Diceros bicornis minor: one gene and its partner. The protein of the gene in region 1 interacts with the protein of each later gene in a biochemical or structural test. Links are inferred from orthologs where the notes say so. Each region holds a gene or a part of one and is shown on either strand. Other genes may lie near its edges.

Region 1 (9,934 bases):
GAGCACAGGAGGAGTGTGTGCACGTGAGTGCACAGGGAGCAGCACACTGCAGTCAGGGGTAGGTAGGTTCCAAGGAGAAAGGACTATGTTGTCGTGGAAAGAGAGATGGATGTGGAGTCCAAAGATTTGGCTTCCCCACTTAGCACACAGAGATCTTTTGCTGCTTTTCTTGACACACCGCTTCTGCGGTTTAGATTCTAGGGGACTGACCTGCTCCTTCCCGGCAGGCTCCTTGGATCTAGGGCCTGAGGTGTTTGTTCAGTGGAGAGGTGGTTTGGATTAGGAAAACAATGATGATGGGAAAGAAGTCACTCTGGTTGGGTGGGGGCAAGGGGAACAGTCTGGATCATGGCCACTCACAGCTCCTGCCATTGTCCTTCACCACTATCTCGGCATCCCGGTCCCTCACGATGTCCCTCCAGTCGATTGTGTCCATGTGACAAAGTTTATCGTTCTTCTCAATATAAACACCCCCTGACAGAATCTCTGAGGTAGAGAAGAAAAGTGACAGGGTTAAGGGCTACAGCAGACCTCCTCTTCCTTACCTCCCCACCAGTCCAAACGGACACCCGAGACTCAGGAGCAAGGGAAACGGGCCGACAGGTAGGTCCACTTAAATCCAAACTGCAGAGAAAGCTCGCCTCATGAGATGGAGGAGGAGCCAAGCCAAAAGAAACTCCTGCCTCCTCAGACACCTGTCCAGATCCGGTTTAGCCAGTGGGGGAGGGGAAGGGAAAGAAGGAGAGAAGATCCCTGACTCACCCTCCCACCCTACGTGTGTGTTTTCCAACTGACTGGGACAGGTAGAAATAGAAGGTGGCCAGGTGGTATTTAACCCCTATATTCCTTCAGCTTGTGGAGAACTGTGAGGGAGGAGGAGGTAGGATTCCCATTCCCAGGGAGGAGGGACATCAAGGGACACTGTATTCTGAAGTTAGAGGAATGGGTGACAGATCTAGCTCCAACTCCAGCCCCACCAGCACATAAGGACCCTCCCCCTGGGGCAGACACCCCAGCTCCCTCCTGGGGCCCTCTATTATTTCAGGAGCAGTGGACCTTTAGACCACAGTGGTCAAAGTGGTGGGCACCTTGCAAGGGGCACTTAGAGTGAGCAGTCTTGGGTCATCATCAAGGAGGTGCCTGCCAGCAGGCTGGCTGAGGGGCAAGGCCAAAGGGAACCATCAGGAACTGACCAGTGAGCTGAGTGAAGCGGAGCTGGCGCAGCGCATGGCTGGAATTGGTGTTGTAGTTCAACATGACAAAGATAGCAAACTTCCCATCGTAGACCTGAGTCCCCCGCACCACCCGGAGGTTGGGCAGTGGCAGTGTGGAGAACTCATTCATGGCCACGAGGACATAGCCGGTCACTTCTCGGATCCACTGTGATAGAGGAGACCGTGTCAGTGAAAGGAACAGCAGGGCAAAAAGTCTCAATCCCTCTCCCTCCCTAAGGCGTTAAGGAATCCCTAACTCCTCTAATTCTTTCTAATTCCTATTTTGGAGTAGAGTGTAGACAGTGTCACACTACTGTGTCCCTTCTGCAAGTAAAGACAGGGAGCAGAAATGATGGAGGAATTCTAGCCTCCTACCCTTTCCTGCTCAGAGCTCCTCATGCCAGAGGGCCCTTGCATAGACCCTTCCTCATCTCCCCAGGTGCCTCTCAGTCCTCAGATGTGTCTCTACATTAGTGCCTGGTGTGGAACACCACCTGCCCCTGCCCCCTTCTCATGACCAGCCCCTCTCCATCCCTGGAACAGCGACCAGACCATAGTCCCAGATTCCAGTCATTGTCCCATAAACACACAGGTTTGGATCTTAGCAACTATGGAGTCTTAGGAACGCTGAACTCCAGCAGAGGGTAGCCCCAAGGAAGGGAAGGAGGCTTCTGGAGGGTTGACAAGGGGGAACAGGTTGAGGAAGGGGGCTGGGCACTCTAACCTGCAGAAAGGAGAGGTCAGCATTGTGTCCTGTGAGCACAATCTCCAGGTTCCCCATCACCACCTCACACCGCTCGTAGAGCTTGTGCAGCGTCTGGTATTGGTTCTCAGCATCGCCAGTCACACTCAGCCCATTCAGAGTCCCAGGACACACTGTTCAAAGTAGAGGTAAGAGGGGCAGAGGGCTGCACACAAGTTTCCAAGGCCACCCCTTTGGCCACCCTCTTCCAGTAACATTCAACAGCCTCAGAAGGCAGCTGCCTCCAACCCTCACCCCTACAGAGAGACACAAAGGCCCATGTTGGACTGAGAGCCTGAACTTCCTCTTCTCTCAGAATCCCCTCACCATTCCTCTGAACAGGAAGGTGAAAGGTTTCCTTTTTCCACCAGGACCTCCTCTGTGTCTCTTTCAGGTACTAAGAGGTTAATCTAGGAGGATGTAGGTTTTTTCCCCCTCCCTAAAAAGAAGTTTTAGAAAACGACCAGGACTTGGTTCCCCCCCTCTTCCCCTCCCCTACTCCAACCAGGGCACTTACTTCTCTACTCCCATCCTGCCTCTCTGGATCTGGGAATAAATATCTCTTTGGGGCTAGCACACAGCCCCTATTGTGTCTACTGAGGGTGGGATGGGGGCAGAGGGTGGGGGCACTGCCTGGGGCCACAGTCCAGCCCACAATGAGGCGATTCTATCTAGGAGGAGGGGTCTGCCCCACCCTGTCCCCAGACACCCTGTCCTCAGCAGTACCCCCCCTCTACGCTTAAGCCTTGGGCTCAGACAAGTGACCTCACCAGAGGGGGGAGCTCTGGTGGTGGTGGTGGTGGGGTCAATGTGAGCTTTGTCTTCAAAGCTAGAAGATAAAGAGCTGGTTGCCTACCCTGTCCCCCCTTCCTAAACCCTGGCTTCCCTTCTCACTCCCTTCCCCTATCCCAACACACTCCAGCTCCCTCAGCATCACACTTTCCAGCCCAAGAGTATTTTTCAGCAAATACAAAGAAGCCTGGAGGGAAACAGCAGCAGACTCCCCCCATTCTGAGCCTTCCACTCAATTTCATTGTCAGAAGAGATTCATTAAAAAGCCCTCCAACATGGCAACCCCCACTCACGTCGGGGGAGTGCCTAGACTTGAGGTTCATGAGGGGTGTCAGTCTTGGGGGTTCACTTTACCTTGTAAGTATGGAGAACATAGGGGCTATGGGAAATCTTGGACCCTGAACTCCTATCCCTGTCTCTTTCCTCTGGCTCAGTGAAAGACTATGGGTTGGGGGGGAGATACCACCTGTTCCAACCACCCTTCCCTGAGGCGGTGGAGCTCAGTGGGAGGCAGGAGTGGAAATGGAGGGAGATTGGTGAGGCCCCAATGTCTCCTAGATACACCCCTAGTCTGACCACTTGACTTTTGAGGGCTCTCATTCGCCATCACTCCCCCACAAAGGGAAAGGGGTGGGCTAGACCCAGCAGAGGGGTAAAGGGGTAAAGCAACCAGAGGAGCCTAGGAACTCCAGGGTCCTTTGGCTGAAAAGAAAGAGGCTAGGAAGGTTAGTCATTTCTGGAACAGCCCCACCCCAACCCCCTTCCTGGCAGGACACCCCCTCTTCCAAGTCAAGGCGCCAACTCTTCTCCCTAGATAAGGGAGGAGCCAAGATTTCTGCAGAAGGAAGTGGTGTGTGTGTATGTGTACATGCACGCACTCAAGACACACACACACATACAGAGGAACATGTACATAGCTCCCTTGCTGGCCCAGAAATCTAGACTGGTTCTGTCCTTGGGTTTCCTTAATGGGAAGTATTTCAGGTGACCCTATCCATCTCACCTGCCCATATATGTTTGGGCAGACTTGGTGTCTGTGCTTGGAAGGCTACAGTGTTAGAGGTCCCAGTTCCCTGCCACCCTGAGGGTAAAGTCCGTATTACACAAACAGGGAGCAAAGGGCCTGGGCGGGAAGGGAGTAAGAACAACACCTCTGAGGAGGAACCCAGCAGCTTGGGGAGGAAGGCAGGGGGAAGGGAGTTATAAAAATCCCTGCTGTACTCAGGGACCAGGGGCATAGGGAGGGGCAGTGTCACAGGCCCTCATTTGGTAGAGAGCACTGGGGTGGGTCAGAGCAAGAATCTCCAGCCCCTCCTCAACCAGAGGCCTCCTCTCCAACATCCCCCACCCCCATCACAGCCAGGACAAAGGGGCTATAGAAGGACCGAGACAGGGCCGGATGCCCAGAGGCTGCAGGATCCAGATAAAGGGTAAAGAGACCCAACCATGCCTGCCTCCTGGCGCCCTATGGGAAGGTGGCCAGGATCTGGGACTCCTGGGTTCCTGGTTGAAGATTCCAGGGGTCTGGATGGGACAGTGATACAGTCACTCTACTCGGTCCCTCCCACTCCAGTCCCCAGACCCCCGCCCTCCACCAGCTGGGAGTGTTCACATCTCAAGATCCCAGGGTCTAAATTTAGGCCCAGCAACTGTGGGGGAAGCACAGGTGTTTCTCCCACTCCCACCCTGGGGAAGGGGCCCTGGCTGTGACAAACCCCAAGCTGAGATCTTGGGGGGAAGGGAAAAGATCAACAGGATTCCTCCAATGCCAGCAATACCAGCACCCCTCAGGTGTCCATTGTCCCAGAGATGCCCCAAAGGGGGAGGGGGCTCATATGGCATGGGAGTGGGAGGAGGAATAGAAGAGCAATCTGACTTTAGTCCAGAGTCCTAGAGACAGTCAAACAATAAACAGAATGGGGGTGGGTGAGAAGCTGGGTCTAGGAAGGACTCCCCAGGACAGGAGGCTCAGAAGGTGGGAGAGATGCCCTGTTGATCCTCGGGTTGGGGAGAGAAAAGACAGAGAGAAGGCTGGAAGTCCTTTACTCTACAGTTCCCGGCCCAGGGTCTTGTACATAGTAGATGCTCAATAAATACTCGTTGAATTGATCTGGATCTTGACAAAGAGAGGTTGGTCAAGTCGGGGACCAACTAGCTTTATTATTTTGAGGGAAAGAGGGCAGTCAGTCTCTGCGTGGCCTCTCACCCTGATGTTACCTGGACGTGGCCCTCTGGTTAATTTCAGCCCTCCCCAGGGCAGGCCCACTCACGGAAGAGGAGGTGCCGTTCTTGTTTTTCCAGCACCAGAGAACAACAACCCCCTCCAACCCTTCCATAGCTCCGCCCTGTCGGCAAAACAACGAAACTGGCGGGTGCTGAAACCAGGGGGAGCAGGGCATTGGGGAGCAAACTGAGACACCCCCCCCCCCGTTCAGCCAAGCTCTCCACCTCCAATCACCTCCTCAAGTTTGCAGAATGGAGGTCCCAGCTCCCCTCCCGGCAGGGCCCCTCATAAGTGTGAACTGTTTGGGCACCAGCCCTATCCGGAGAGACAAATTCGAGGGTCAGCGACGCGCTGGGGAGGAGGAGGTGGTGGTGGTCCAGGAATGCCGTCCCCGCCCGGACCACGCCGAGAACCCCAGCGTCGCAGTGCCCGCCCAGGTGGTCCCAGCGGACCCAGGGTCAGCACCCCGAGCGTCACACTGCGGGAGCCCCTGCCCTCCAGGGCTCCGCGTCCTCGGTTCGGACCCCAGGGTCCGAGCTGCCCGTGCTCCCGCGCCGCTTACCTGCCTGCGAGTTGCCCACCTCGGAGCCCCGGGCCAGGCTGAGAAGGAAGCCCAGCACCTGCAGAGCCCGGTTCGCCCTCATAACGCTAGCGGAGGGTGAGGGGAGCCCAGCCGAATCCGGCCCGGGGGGCCCCTGGACTAGGACATCGAAGCGGAGCCACCTGAGCCGCCAGCGAATTGGTAGCGGCGGCAGAGGAGGTTACACACTGCAACCGGAGCCGGAGCCAGAGTCCGGGGCGGGATGGCAGGGGAGGGTGTGTGTCTGCGAGCGCGGAGGAGGGAGGCAGGGGGAGGGGGTGAGTCACGGCCGCGCCCCCTCCGGCGCGAGGCTGGATAGGGATTGCCGCCGCCTCCGACGGCCCGCCCCGCGCGCCCCACGCCCCACTGCCCCGCGACTTGGCCCAGCAGATCCAGGATGGGTCTCCCCCTAATTTTCTTCAGGAGCTGGACTAAGGGAACGTAAAGATTCCAAACGCCCCAAATGCCTCCGAAGGAGAAAGGTAATGGGGGTGGGGAGAGCGCGCGAAAGCCCAGCCCTCGGAAAGTTGGCCTCGCCCATTAACCAAATCACTCAACTCCCCTAGCCGGTTGGGTCACTTGGGGGATTTTGTCTTCGAATGTGGATGTTTTTCTCTGTGTGTGTTTTTGAGGGGGAGGGTATTTTTGCCTCACGCTCAGGCCACCTCAGTTTCCCCGGAAACCCCTCGAAACCCCATAACTCATCCACCCTGCCGAGGAACCTGAGCCCCAGAGGCCGCGTGAAATTGCACTGTCTCCGGCCGCTTCCTCCTCCAGACCGGCGCCGGCCCGGCCTCTCCCGGGGATTTGGTTGGGGGGCGGGGGTGGTTTCCAGCCTGGGAACAGACCCCGAAGCCCGCCTTTCCACTTCCACCCCGGGAGGGGCTCCCGCACCTGTCGCCGTCCCCTCTGCTGCCCCCCACGGCCGCCTGGGAGAACAGCTGCCTCCCCTTCCACGCTGGAGTCTGACCGCGCCGTCGGGGCGGCTGGAGTTCCCGCCGCTGTTCTGCGGACCCAGATGGGCACACCGTCCCCACCACAGGCGCTCACACCTTCCCAGGCGCCTTCCGAGCCTCGGCTCGCGCTGGAAAGGGGGAAGGGGCACTAGAGACTGCGTCCACTAATGACGTGGACCCCTGACACCTCAGCACCAGCTCCTGGATCCTGGCCCGAGGTGGTCGGGTGCACGGCGAGTGGCTGCCCCAAACCCTGCCGGCCTCCGAACGGATCCGACGGGCGCCCTCTGGTGCCCAACGGGCGGCAGTGAGGCCCCTCACGGCGTTGCATTTCTAATCTCTTAAATTGGCATTCTGGATCTCGCCCAGAGAGCCTAATTATTTTCCCCAGAGTTTCAAGCCTGAAAACTTCAATAACAGTTAAGCCTCGATGAAGAAAAATTTCGCCTCTCACTCCGAACCAAGACTGCGGGCTAAAATTCTTTAAACTTTCTCCGTACTGATATGCACTCTAGAAGCCCATTCTCTGCTGGAGGCTACCTTTGCCCCTGGGGCGTTGGCCTTGCCTTGACCACTTGCATAACAGTTGAAATAGTAATAGCAACCAGGAAACATTAACATATACATACATATACCACCTCACTTGCAAGCGTTGCCTCAAACTTAGAGAATGTTTCACTTACAAAAACTATGTGAGCTAGGTGACATCACTCTCCATTTTACAGAACTGGAAATGCATGACTTCGCCAAGGTCATCCTCTTGGTGACAGTGGATGATCAGGAGAAGGGGTGCAGGTTTTTACCTAGGTTTTCTTTTTTGTGTGTGTGAGGAAGATCAGCCCTGAGCTAACATCCATGCCAATCCTCTTTTAGCTGAGGAAGACTGGCCCTGAGCTAACATCCATGTCCATCTTCCTCTACTTTATATGGGACGCATGGCTCGACAAGCAGTGCGACAGTGCGCGCCCGGGATCGGAGCTGGCGAACCCCCAGCCAAGGCAGCGGAGCGGGGGCACTTAACCGCTTGCGCCACCAGGCCGGCCCCTTTGCCTAGGATTTCTTTTTTTTTTAAATAAATTTATTTATTTATTTATTCCCCCAAAGCCCCAGTAGATAGCTGTATGTCATAGCTGCACACCCTTCTAGTTGCTGTATGTGGGACGCGGCCTCAGCACAGCGGGAGAAGCGGCACCTCGTGCACGCCGAGGATCCGAACCCTGGCCGCCAGCAGCGGAGCGCGTGCACTTAAACGCTGAGCCACGGCGCCGGCCCCTACCTAGGATTTCTTATGTCCCACTGAGACTGGAGCTTCATCTGCTCAGAATCAAACTCCCACCAGATAACTGAGCTAACACCACTTCAGGGGCCTTTCATTTGATTACTCATCCACCTCACACTAGTGTTCAAGGCCCTGGTTCTGAAGGAGGAAACCCTCCTTAGTTTCCTTGTTTGTAGAACAGTTGTGTTTACTTATAAGTTTGTTGTTTGGATTTCATAAGAAAAAGCAGGTAGAGCTCTTCTTTACCTCATTGTGCTTGACCTTTAAGAAGCATTCCATGAATACTAGCAGTATTTCTTCCTGTGATCACCAACTCCACCCCTCCCCTCCCCAACTAGATCCCAGGGTGTGCTTGCTGGTATCCATTCTTCAATACATCATGCTAAGCATCAGGGTTATAAACACTGGATAAAGCCGACAAGTAAGGGGCCGTCTCTGTTGGGTGCTGCCCTGATTGAATAAAGGAAGGGAGAGAGGCTTTATTTACCAAAGCTCTCTGCAGTTATCCACCATCCCTTTATCTTTCCTTACTCTTAGCTGATAACTTGGGTTCTTATTCTACTGTGAAAATAAAAGTAATCAAAAGAAAACATCCTTATCTTTCTACCACCAATCTGGCCAATTTACCTCCATCCTCACTTCTATACTTTGACTTCCGTCTTGTTACAATGAACGGTCCTTGCTGCTCTTTAAGCCAACTGTCACTCCCCCAACCCTCACCCCCACCCCCATCCTCAGTGCTACACCTCAGTCCATTCCTTCTTGCCTTTCTCCTGCATTATCCGTTTTCTCCTCTATTATCAATTTTCCTCTCTACTAGATCATTCCTGTTCGCATACAAACGTGCTGTCCTATCTGCCACCTTAAAAAAATAAAACAAAACAAATTAACCTTCTTTGACCCCATGGCCTTCTAGTCCTTTGCTCCTAACTACTGCCAGATCCCTATACTTTATTTGTTCACTATCCAATGACTGCCTCCAGCTTCCTGCCATCGCGAGCTATGCTGCAGAATATCCTCCTACCTGTCTCCTTTGGTTCTGTGATCATTTCTCGTGCATATTGAGCTCCACACTCTCTGGACTATCACATCATCAATAGTGGGATTTCTATATCCACACTTCCTTGTCAATACTTGACATTATTCAAGTGTCCAATTTTTCAATTTGCCATGAATTCAAAATGATATCTCATTGTATTTCTTTAATTCTTTTTTTAACGAAATTTTTTTTTCTTTTTTTTTTTTTGTGAGGAAGATCAGCCCTGAGCTAACATCCATGCTAATCCTCCTCTTTTTTTTTTGCTGAGGAAGACCAGCTCTGAGCTAACATCTATTGCCAATCCTCCTCCTTTTATTTTTTTCCCCAAAGCCCCAGTAGATAGTTGTATGTCATAGTTGCATATTCTTCTAGTTGCTGTATGTGGGATCCAGCCTCAGCATGGCCAGAGAAGCTGTGCGTCAGTGCGTGCCGGGGATCTGAACCCGGGCCCGCCAGTAGCGGAGCGCGTGCACTTAACCGCTAAGCCACGTGCGGCCCTCTTTAATTCTTAATATTTGAGCATCTTCTCAAACTTTTTCTTACTTTTGGTTTTTCTCTTTTATGAATTGCCTATTCATTTTCCTTTGCCAATTTTTTAATAGGGATTCTCATATTTATTATATTGGTTTGCAGCAGTTTATTGTATATTTCAGATATTAGACCTTCATTGACTTTAGACATTGCAAATATCTCTTCCCAATTTTCATCATTAACTCTGTAAATAATATTATTTATTGAACAGAAATCCTTAATTTTGGTATAATCTAATTAATTGATTTTACTTCTTATGGTTTGTGATCTTGATATTTTTAAAGACTTTCTTCCCCACGCTTGCAGCACATTTATTGAGATATAATTGATACACAATAAACTGCACATATTTAAAGTCTACACTTTGCTGAGTTTTGACATACATATATAACCATAACCACAATCAAGATAACAAACATATCCATCACCTGGGAAAGTTTCCTCATGTCCTTTGGTAATCTCTCCTTCCTCATCCCCATAATCTCCCCCATAATCTCCCATAATCCCCATACACATGCCCCACCCTAGCATGTGTATATACAGTTGTTCCAGCACCATTTTTTTTAAACTATTTATT
Region 2 (9,934 bases), on another chromosome or scaffold:
CAACAACTCTGTAAAATAAGTGTCAGTATCTCCATTTTACAGATAAAGAAACTGAACCTCAGAGAGAAGAAATAACCCTGGCCTGCTAGTAAGCTGTAGGGATCTGATTTGAATTTCCCAGCCTGTCTGGCTCTGACACATGGGGTTTTTTAACCCACAGTGCGTCACCTGCAAAGTGCCTCCCTTGGGGAGAGAGAAACTCAAAATAGTGAAAAAGAACAGAAAAAGCTTGAGGAGTTTTGCTTTAGCAACTGAAGCCAATCTCCCTACAATCCTCTCCCCTCCTGTTTGTACTTCCAGGACCCTCTCAGGGGAAAATTACACTCCTTGCTTCCCTACCCCACCCCAGAGGATTTTTATACAGGTGAAATCATTGCCTTAAAGCTGCACCTTGTGAGGAGGAGGAGGGATGGACAGAAGAACTCATGAGCTGATTACATATGAGCCAGCAAGGGCGAACCTTCTTTCCCTCCAGTCAGCTTCTCAACCCATTGCTCAATCAAAGCCTCGTCTCTCAGGGAAAAGTTGCGAAGATCTAGTTTAGTTAATAAAATGGGAGAGCAGGAAGGGGCTGTAAACAGTAATAGCCATGTTTACTGAGTGCGTGTTGTGTCACAGCCAGGCGCTGTTCCAGGGACATGACATAGAGACCCATTTAATCCTTGCACACGCACACAAATAAAATGACGAGCTGAGACCCAGAAGATGAAGGAACTTGCCCCGAGTCTCCCAGCTCTTAGGAAGGGGACTTGGAGTCAAACTCACACAGCCTGTCTCCTGGATGCTGCCCTGCCTGACAAAGACCGGCCCTCCGCACAGCTCCACCCCATTCGAGGGCTGAGGAAACAAGGCCAGGGCCGGGGACCTGCCCAGCCAGCCCAGGACAGAGCCAGGCAAGATGTCGGGTCTTCTGATGGGGACCCAGGGCTCCTGCCACCAGCCCAGGGGCTCGGCAAACCCAAAACTCCGGGAGTGTGTTAACTGCCCTTCACTCAGTTCAGATTTCAGATCCCACCTACCGCTCCAAACCAGACAACTCTTAAAAATCTATTTATCTGTCTGACACCTGCACTGTACTTGAGCACCCCCGATGGGCTCATGGAAGGCTAAACATAGCGCCCGTCAGAGCCTTCACCTCTCCCCTCCTCCACAGACGGATACAAACAGAAGCCAAGGGACGGTGGCACCTCACACATCCCGCAGTGTTCGGCAGCGACTCGACGCGCTCCCTGCAAGGCCGGCAAATATTTTGATAGTCTTTCCCTCCAGGATTCTCCTGTGGAGAACAATCGGACACAGTCGGGAGTGAGCTTCCAGCAGATTCCACAGGAAGAAACATTACATCAGTGGAGGGGAGTTTGACTCCCAGGACTTGTGGGAAGGGAAACAGATTCGGAGGCAGGGACTGCCAGATGTCTACCGTGCCCCTCAGCCCCCAGTGTGGGGCAGGGATGAGGGGAGCCCTAAGTGGACAGAGTCCAGTGGGAGCCAGACAGGGTGGTGGGTAAAAGCGCAGTCTTCGGAGTTAGCCAGACCTGGGCTTTAGGACCAACTCTGCCACCTGAGGCTGTGTGACCTCAGGCAGCTTGCTTTGTCTCTCTCTGGTCTTCAGTTTCCCCACTGTAAAATGGGGATAATAAGAGTACACGCCTCTTGGACTGGCCCTTGAGAATTAGACGCAGTAACGTCAGGGAAGCCTTGAGCCCAGGGCCTGGCTCATGCAGGTGCCGAATAACCATAAACACATTGTCCTCATGAGATCCTTCACTTTCCTTGAAATGAGCTCATGGGGTGTGTTCTCCAGTCACTGGTCTCCTTTACTGAACTTCCCTTAGGGGCCTCAGGCCCCTCACCTGACCCAAAATGTGCCTTCAGGAGAGAAGGGACAGCCCTGAGTGACGGGCCGCCCCATGGCCACAAGTTCCCTCCAGTGGAATGGAAATTCCAGGGCCCATCCCGGCAGACAACCATCTCTCCACACGTCAGCTCGCTGGGCAATGAGAAAAGCCGCACAGATCCCTGGCATGGGACATCTCTTCACAAAGGCATATTATTTTGAAAAAGATAAAACAAATATTTACGAAAAGCGAAATAATATAAAGCCATTGGAACAAAAACAGACCCGGTGCAGACCGAGCAGCACGTGGTAGAGAGTGGGTCAGGCAGGACCACAGGGGGCCTGTTTGACATGGTGGCTTTTTTGCCCTCCTCACGCCGCTTTCTGGCCCCAGCCCCAGGGCCTTTTTCGGAAAATGAATTTGCCTGTACTTTTGGTGTCTAGAGGCCCCACAGGACACGGAGGATTGCCCTGGGGCCCCACATTCTCCTGGTGACTCACCAGTCAGGCAGTGGGTACCCGAGGCAGAAGAGCCACTTCCTGTGACCCTGAGCCACCAGGTCCAACCGATACCGGCCCAACAGCTGCCTTCTCCTCTGAGAGCACTTGAGTCACCCTCAGGAGCAGGGCGGGACCTGGCCCAGTGCAGGGCTGGGTGAGCGTTGCTGAAGAACCAGGCCATGCATGAACGTGTGTTTGGGGTGAGATGCGGGGTGGACACACTGCTTTATCCACCAAGGAAACCTAATCTTCCTAAAGGTATTGACCCATGCCACCTGAACTGCAGGAGGGATGTTCTCATGGTGGAAAGTCTTGGGGCCAACACATGTCCTCTTGACACATCCCACCCCCACACGTATCCACACCACTCCAGCAGATCCCTTCCTGGAGCCGCACCCCTGCTAATACTTCCTTTACAGCGTCCAAGAGTCCTGTTTGATGTTATGAGAAGAAAATGTGTGTCTAGGTGCAGGGGTGAGTGTGGGTGTGTCTAGGGGTGTGTGTGGGGTATTCATGTAGGGAGGGAGAATGTTGACAAGAAATCCAAGCAGACGGGCCAGACAGAAGTCTTAAAAACAACCGCAGCCCAACTGTCTCCTCTCTGTGCCCCCAACTTATCAGCTCAGGCCCAGGTTCAGGGGAGGTCCGTGGCCAGCTTTGCACAGCAGCTGACCTGGTTCCCAGACCAGCTACCTGGCTTTGAGCAACAGAAGTGCCTACATGGCCACCAGGTCCTGCAGTAAATCCACGGAGTCCTTGGGCTCAGGCCTAGATCCCGCGTGGTGGGGACAACAATGTGCCCTGTCCCTGATTTGACTCTGCTGCTCCAGTCACAGAGCTCCCTCAGGGGCAGATGTGAAGCCAAAATACTTCATTAAGACTGGAGGTCACATAACAGCCCCGGCCCTCTTTGGACACTGCACGCTGGCCAGTGGCATGGAACGAACCAGGTCCCAGCCCTCCCAGGAGCCCCGGGCATCATATTTCAATGCACTTCTGCTTTAGCTACTCCCACAGAAAGGAGAGGGCTTGCTCCCCTCCGTGTTTTTAATTTCAAGAATACTGCAACCCCCTGGGGAATACTCATGTTTTCGTTACAGTCAGAGTGGCGGCTACCACACGCTTCAGACCTGATCCCAGTCGAGCTCAGAGCTGTGGTCTCCGGGAAGCAGGTGAACAGGCCTGGAGACCAGCGAAGGGATTCTGCCGTCTGTGGTGCGGGGCTGGCGGAGGAGGGCGGCGCCAGATGGAAGAGCACGCGTGCCCCGCCGTAGCACAAAGACGGCTGCTTAGAAGTCACGAGGAAATGAAATTGTGCTTGGGTCAAGCCCTCCGTTAGTTGCCAGAGGGGAGGTAGATTATATATACCTCTGTGTGGTGAGGGATGTTATTTGGAGAAATGAAGAATACATTCATAAAATAGGAAAACTACTTTTTAAAGTTATTCACTTTTGGGGCCGGCCCCGTGGCTTAGTGGTTAAGTGTGCGTGCTCCGCTGCTGGCGGCCCGGGTTCGGATCCCGGGCGCGCACCGACGCACCGCTTCTCCGGCCATGCTGAGGCCACGTCCCACGTACAGCAACTAGAAGGATGTGCAACTATGACATACAACTATCTACTGGGGCTTTGGGGGAAAAATAAATAAATAAATAAAATTATAAAAAAAAAATAAAGTTATTCACTTTTAAAGATCAGCTTTGTGTGTGTGTGTGTGTGTGCTAGAGCGTTTTAAAAAGTGAAACATCTCTGCAGGCTTTTCAATTATATACAATCATACACCGCATAACAACATTTTGATCAATGTTGGACCGCATATACAATGGTGGTCCCATAAGATCAGTACCATACAGCCTAGGTATCTAGTAGTAGGCTATACCACCTAGGTTTGTGTACGTACATTCTAGGATGTTTGCACAATGATAAAATGGCCTAAAAACACATTTCTCATAATGTATCCCTATCGTTAAGCAACACATGACTGTACACATATAATGATAATATATATTATATTTATATAACGCATTATAGTTTACAAAGTACTTTTATATGCCCATTCATTCATTCAACAAACCTTCATGAGCCCTTACAAAAATCCAGATACTTCTTAGGCCTGACTGAGAGGACACAGTGGTGAACAAGGCAGATAAGACCCTCACTTCCATTGAGCTCACTCTCTAGTTGGGGAGACAGACCATAAACAGCAGACAATGAATCAGCAAGATAAGTTCACGGAGCAACAAGTGCTTTGAAGATCATAACGTCAGGTAAGAGGCTAGAGCTGCACTGTCCAATATGGTAGCCATTAACCCCATTTGGTTATTTAAATTTAAGTCTAAATTAATTAAAATTAAATAAAATCAAACATTTAGTTCTTCAGTTCACACTAGCCACATTTCAAGTGCTGAATAGGCACATGTGGCTAGTGGCTAGTAGAATAGACATAGAATACTTACATCATTGCAGAAATTTCTAGAATAGCAATGAGAGTGACTTGGGGCTAATTTAGATTGGGTGGTCAGGGAAGGCCTCTCTGAGGAGGTGCCTTGAGTGGAAACCCCCAAAAGAGAAGAAACCAACAGCTCATGGACTTGGGTGGGGAGGGAGTGGACAGAGTCTCAGGCACTCTAGAGCAAATGTCCAAATGTAGGCATGAGTTTGGCAAATTTGAGGAACAGAAAGAAGGTTGGTGTGACTGGAGCGTAATGAGCTGGGGAGTGTGGAGAGTGGAGAACGATGAGGTCAAAAGTAGTAATAAAAACAGCTGGCGGCGGTTGAGTGCTTACTATGTGCCAGGTATCTACAAGGTTGGTACTACTGTGCTCCTTTTACAAATGAGAACACTTAGACACAGAGAAGTAGACACGCTTAGCCGAAGTCACACAGCTAGTGAGGGGACAGAGCCGGGATTTCAACTGGGCGGTATGAGCATGGAGTGCTTAGCCGCTGTGCTGCACTGCCTCTGCAAGGAGACAGGGGCTGTGTTGTGGACGCCCTGCGAGGAGCGGGGACCCTACCTGGGTGTGATAGGAAGTCACTGCAATTTTTTAGGCAGGAGAGTGACCTGATCTATGGCACTTGTAAGTGATCGATCTGCTCATAGTGGGAGAATAGATTGTAGAAGGTCAAGTGAGGGGCTGCCTCACTAATCCAGGGAACAACATCACTGTGGCTCCGACTAGGATAGCAGCAACTCTTTGTTCTTATTTTGTACAGCCTATCAGACATTACACTTGTACTTTTGATGGTTTATCTTCAAGGATTTTGGCAGATAAAACAATGCATCTTTTCTTTTCTAAAAAATCTCCGAAACTCTATAGACACACCCCAACAATCACTTAGCAATAGGAAAGCCGGTTTCTGCCCGTCTTACCTAATTCCACTTGCAGCATCTATTCTATATTCTTCAGATGGTTATTAAATTAAGCCAACGATCTCCCTAAACTGGGAAGTTGGTTCCGGTTCCACCCAGGGTTGTTTCCACAGCTAGGGGAAGGGGGCAGAGTCTTGACCCCAGTGGGACCCCAGGGTGTGGGTTTTACGTGTGGAAGAGAACATCGTGGGCGATGCAGTCTTTAAGCATCGACCTTGAGCATGTAGAGGGGCAGGTTTCAGGACTGCAGTGACAACCATGGCTCCCCAGACCAATTTAGCCCGTGACATTGACGTTGGATGTGGTGTTCGGGTTCTCAGAGGCAAACTGACAGACCCCTCCAGGGAAAAAGGCATGAATGTTATTTCACATAAATCTTCTCCAGACTCCTGCAAACGCTTGCCTAAGGTGCTTATATAAAATGCAACTTCTAACTGCCTCGAGCCCTTAATGCTCTCCCTCATCAAACTGCTATTGTTCCTTCAGACCTTCTCTTCCCAGAAGGGATGGTTCCTCTTCCAGCCACAGCTACCTTCTGAGGCCCAGAGTGTGGTGTCCGGTTTTGGGACACAGGTTCAAGTCAAGGTCACAACCCTGCAGTGCTCTCCACACCTGACACCCTTTCCCCTACGTCAGGTTATCCAATCTCTCTGTGGCTGCGCTCTTCGTCACTAAAACGAGGATAATTATTGTTAAGTATTGATCCACCTCATAGCACTGTTGTGAGAATTAAGTTAGAATTAAATAAGACAGAACAATTATCATCGTTAGCTGTTGCATCGTATTATCATTACTGGAAGGGAGAGGACAGGAAAACATGTGGCCAAGTCCAAACCCTCGTCTCAAGGCCACCACGGATAAGGATCCAGAATCACCCGGGAAACAGCTGCCCTGGAGCCTCTGCGCGTTAGTCCGAGGATTCTCCTAAGCTCCAGGTGCTGCCCCACAAGTCACTCGATGGGCTTCATCACCACCACCCCCAGCCCCGGCCACAGCATCTGCTGGCTCAGCATTGCCCTACGCTCTGGGCCAGAGCAGCAGCCGGCCAGACTGCTTCCTACCTTGCCTGTCCCCTGCCTCCCGAGGCTGGCTTCGGTCAGATGCGGTAGCTCCTAGGGGCGCCTGCGAAGGAAAGAGGCCTTCTCAGTTTGGTGTAAGGAAGTTAGGATAGTGCAGGCAAGGCTGGGGCCACTTTCCGTGGTTCTGCCGGAGGGCGAGGAACCTGGGCCTCAGGCTGGCTGGACCTGGGTCTGCGGCCTCTCCTGGCATTGCCCTCCCGGGGCTGCAGAGCTAACATCGCCCAGCCTGCCCAAATGATTCTCCGCCTGTTGTCTCAACAGCTGACGATTTAATTCTAAGTAACAGTGACTCACAGGGCAGCAGTTCCCTTTTTTGCCAGAGCAGTCTTATGTAGATTAAGCCTTCCTCCCAGGTAAAGGAAGGTCTTTACTTTTCAGCAAAGCCAGAGGGAGGCGGGCAGTGTTGTGATTAGGAGCACAGATTTAGAGCCAAATTGTCTGAGTTTGAATCTGGCTCCACCACTTACAAAGTGGTGTGGGCTTGGACAAGTTGTTTAACCTCTCCCTGCCTCAGGTTCCTCATCTGCAAAATGGGAATAATAATAGTACTTACTGCATAGAGTTCTCATCAGGGTAAATGAGTTAACATCTATACAGAGCTCAGAGCCAAGCCTGGCACATTGTAAGAGCTTATATCAGTGTTTGATAGGTAAATGGCCAATAATGGGGAATTGGTTCTATATAATGGAATAGTACATAGCCTATTAAAATCCCTATCATAGAAGAATAGTAATATGGAAATACATTTACGATCTATTAGTAAGTGAAACAATGGACTCTAAAACAAACGACAGTGTACTATTATTGTTGAAAAAAAGAAAATAAATCTTTATACATTGAAAAATACACTAAAAGTATATACACCAAAAGGGTGTTTTTCTGTCTTCTAAAATTTCTGTGTTCTGTGTTACTTTAGTAATAAAAAACAATAAGAAAACAATAAAAATTATTCAGTAATAAAAACAATAACAATTATTCAAATGTAGTAGATGTGCATAATCCATATTAAACAATCATGCTTTAAAATGATGATGATGATAATAATGGTCTGACTGTCCCTAAGCCTAGATCATTCAGAGCTGAGGCTGCGAGGTGATCACCACCATATGCTTTAATGATTAGCCAAATGTTATCATCAAAAAGAAAAAATAATAATATTACATGATTATATGGATATGACACACTATTTTCCTTCTGGGGGTAATCAAAAGCTAACCATACCAACACAGCCAGATTTAAATCTTCCTTAAGCAACAGGTGACCACATATGTGAACTAAACAAAGAAGCAAATGGCACTGTGTACAAGCAATGAATTGAGTGTGCTTTGCAAGGTGGTGAGTGAAGGGGGTGTCTCAAAAGTTGCGTGCATAGACAGGAGGAGTGGGGTGGGGAAGCATTCCTCCAGCCATTGAGTCAGAGGTTTCAAGAAGGAAACAGAACTGCAGTGGCTGCTAAAATAAAGGAAGGAGATAAGCATCTCCTTCTACTGCTCACTTGTGTAGAACTTGAATGGAGAAAAGAATAAGTCAAGAACTACCTCTGAACCCTGACCTTCAGGAATGAGCAGACTTCTCTGTCAACAAGCTACTTCTTACTCTGCTCCCGGGTCTTAGAAAACAATTGAAATCCCAAACACGCTGCATGTGGGCTCTGATGGATGGGACTAATGTTAAATTGAACCCTCTGTGTATCAAAGAACAGGTGGTAGGATGAAATCCAAAACTGTCTTAACCTCACTTCCAAGGTGCCTCGTCTGACTTTGCCTGCTTTTCTCATTAACACTCAGTCTCATGAACCCCTTTCCCAAATCCAAGCAAAAGTGGGTCCTTTGCGAGTTGTCATGACCTTGTTCATCTCCATATTTTTAGCTTATAAATTCTCTCCCCAGCATTCTGTTACTCTCAGAAGATGTGAAGAGCTTTGAAAGAAAAACAAAATTATAGTTGCAAATTCTGAAATTGTGCTGGCTGAATGAAACTTTTGACTGACAGAAACTGGTTTCAGTTCCCCCTTCAATCTTTTCAAATCTTACCATCATAAAGTCCCTCGTGTTACTGACCCTATCGACAAACCTCATTGACATCCACATGGAAAAGATCATTGCAATAATCTCCCAAACACCTGAACTGGCTGGAATTGCTTCTTTCTTTCCAAAGAACCATGAGGTCCTGGGCTGCCTGGGCCCCTCCCAGGGCTGTGCCCAGTGCACAGGCAGGAGGAGGTTGGCAGGCTGTTATGTTTTTCAGCAAAACAGCCGACAGTGATTAGAACACTCAGATGCTTTCTGTTGATGCTTGTGGGGGATCAGCTTCTAAGCTTTGGACTTGTAAAAACAGGGGTCACAGATTTTGTATCAGGAGAATTGATTGCACATTTGAAGAAGCAATGAAAAGAATCACTAGGAGAAGTGCCACAGTATCCTGAAAAAAATCCTCACTGTGTTTAGAGAAGGGAGGGCCCAGGAGCCCAGATGAAGTCAGAGCTTTTTCCCTTCCAAGGGAGCATCTGGTTCAAAGCTGCAAAGAAGAAAGGAAGGGGGTGTCCACAGGCCTCTTGAGTGGAGCGCCCCTAACTGCTAGGGCACATGTTTTAACACCAGGGCTTCTTGGAGGTGGGGGTGTCTCCCTCGTCCTTTCCGTAGGACCTGGTTTCTGACCCCAAGAGTGGGAGAGGCTACACTGATTTACAGCCGCCTTTCTCCCCCTTCTTTCCGATCCTCCCAGTCTGCGGTCTGTTCAAAGCACACTCAAGGGAAAGAGACGCCAATGAATCTGCCTACCTGGGAAGTGGTTTTCAGCAAGCACTGACATTCTGACACACACTTTGTCTTAAAATGGGTCCCTTATGCTTCAGTGGAGCGGGGCTGTGATCTGTGCAGGTGTTTCCAGTGGCTCCCAGAACACAGAGCCCTCTCTCTCAGTGTAGGCGACACTGTATAAGGATGTCGTCAGCTACTAGCGTTAGATTAGGATTGACAGCGGTGAGTGCTCAACAGGCAGCCGTGCTCTCAATTCTCCCCTAGAACAGCAAGAAGGAGGGAGGGGACTATCTCTGGACTAGAGATGGAGAGATAAAGAAGAAGGCAGTTTAGATGGAAAAGCTGTTGTGTTTTTAAAAAATTCTCTTTATCATTTATAGATTTTAGAT

Evidence for each region. The genes of interacting proteins can lie anywhere in the genome.
Region 2: the proteins of ERBB3 (region 1) and BCAR3 form a complex in vitro, tested with the Homo sapiens proteins (2 studies listed by BioGRID and IntAct, with this or other methods). The link is inferred for Diceros bicornis minor from reciprocal best matches to the Homo sapiens genes ERBB3 and BCAR3.

The regions. Positions count from the first base shown.
Region 1 is NC_080756.1:12,678,590-12,688,523, forward strand, and holds the start of ERBB3 (receptor tyrosine-protein kinase erbB-3), read right to left. Parts: upstream 5,840-9,934; 5' UTR 5,617-5,839; coding exon 5,535-5,616; intron 5,288-5,534; exon of another isoform or gene 5,207-5,287; intron 2,091-5,206; coding exon 1,939-2,090; intron 1,381-1,938; coding exon 1,194-1,380; intron 487-1,193; coding exon 361-486; intron 1-360. UniProt on the Homo sapiens protein: Tyrosine-protein kinase that plays an essential role as cell surface receptor for neuregulins.
Region 2 is NC_080743.1:29,777,630-29,787,563, forward strand, and holds the start of BCAR3 (breast cancer anti-estrogen resistance protein 3), read right to left. Parts: upstream 6,950-9,934; 5' UTR 6,769-6,949; intron 1-6,768. UniProt on the Homo sapiens protein: Acts as an adapter protein downstream of several growth factor receptors to promote cell proliferation, migration, and redistribution of actin fibers.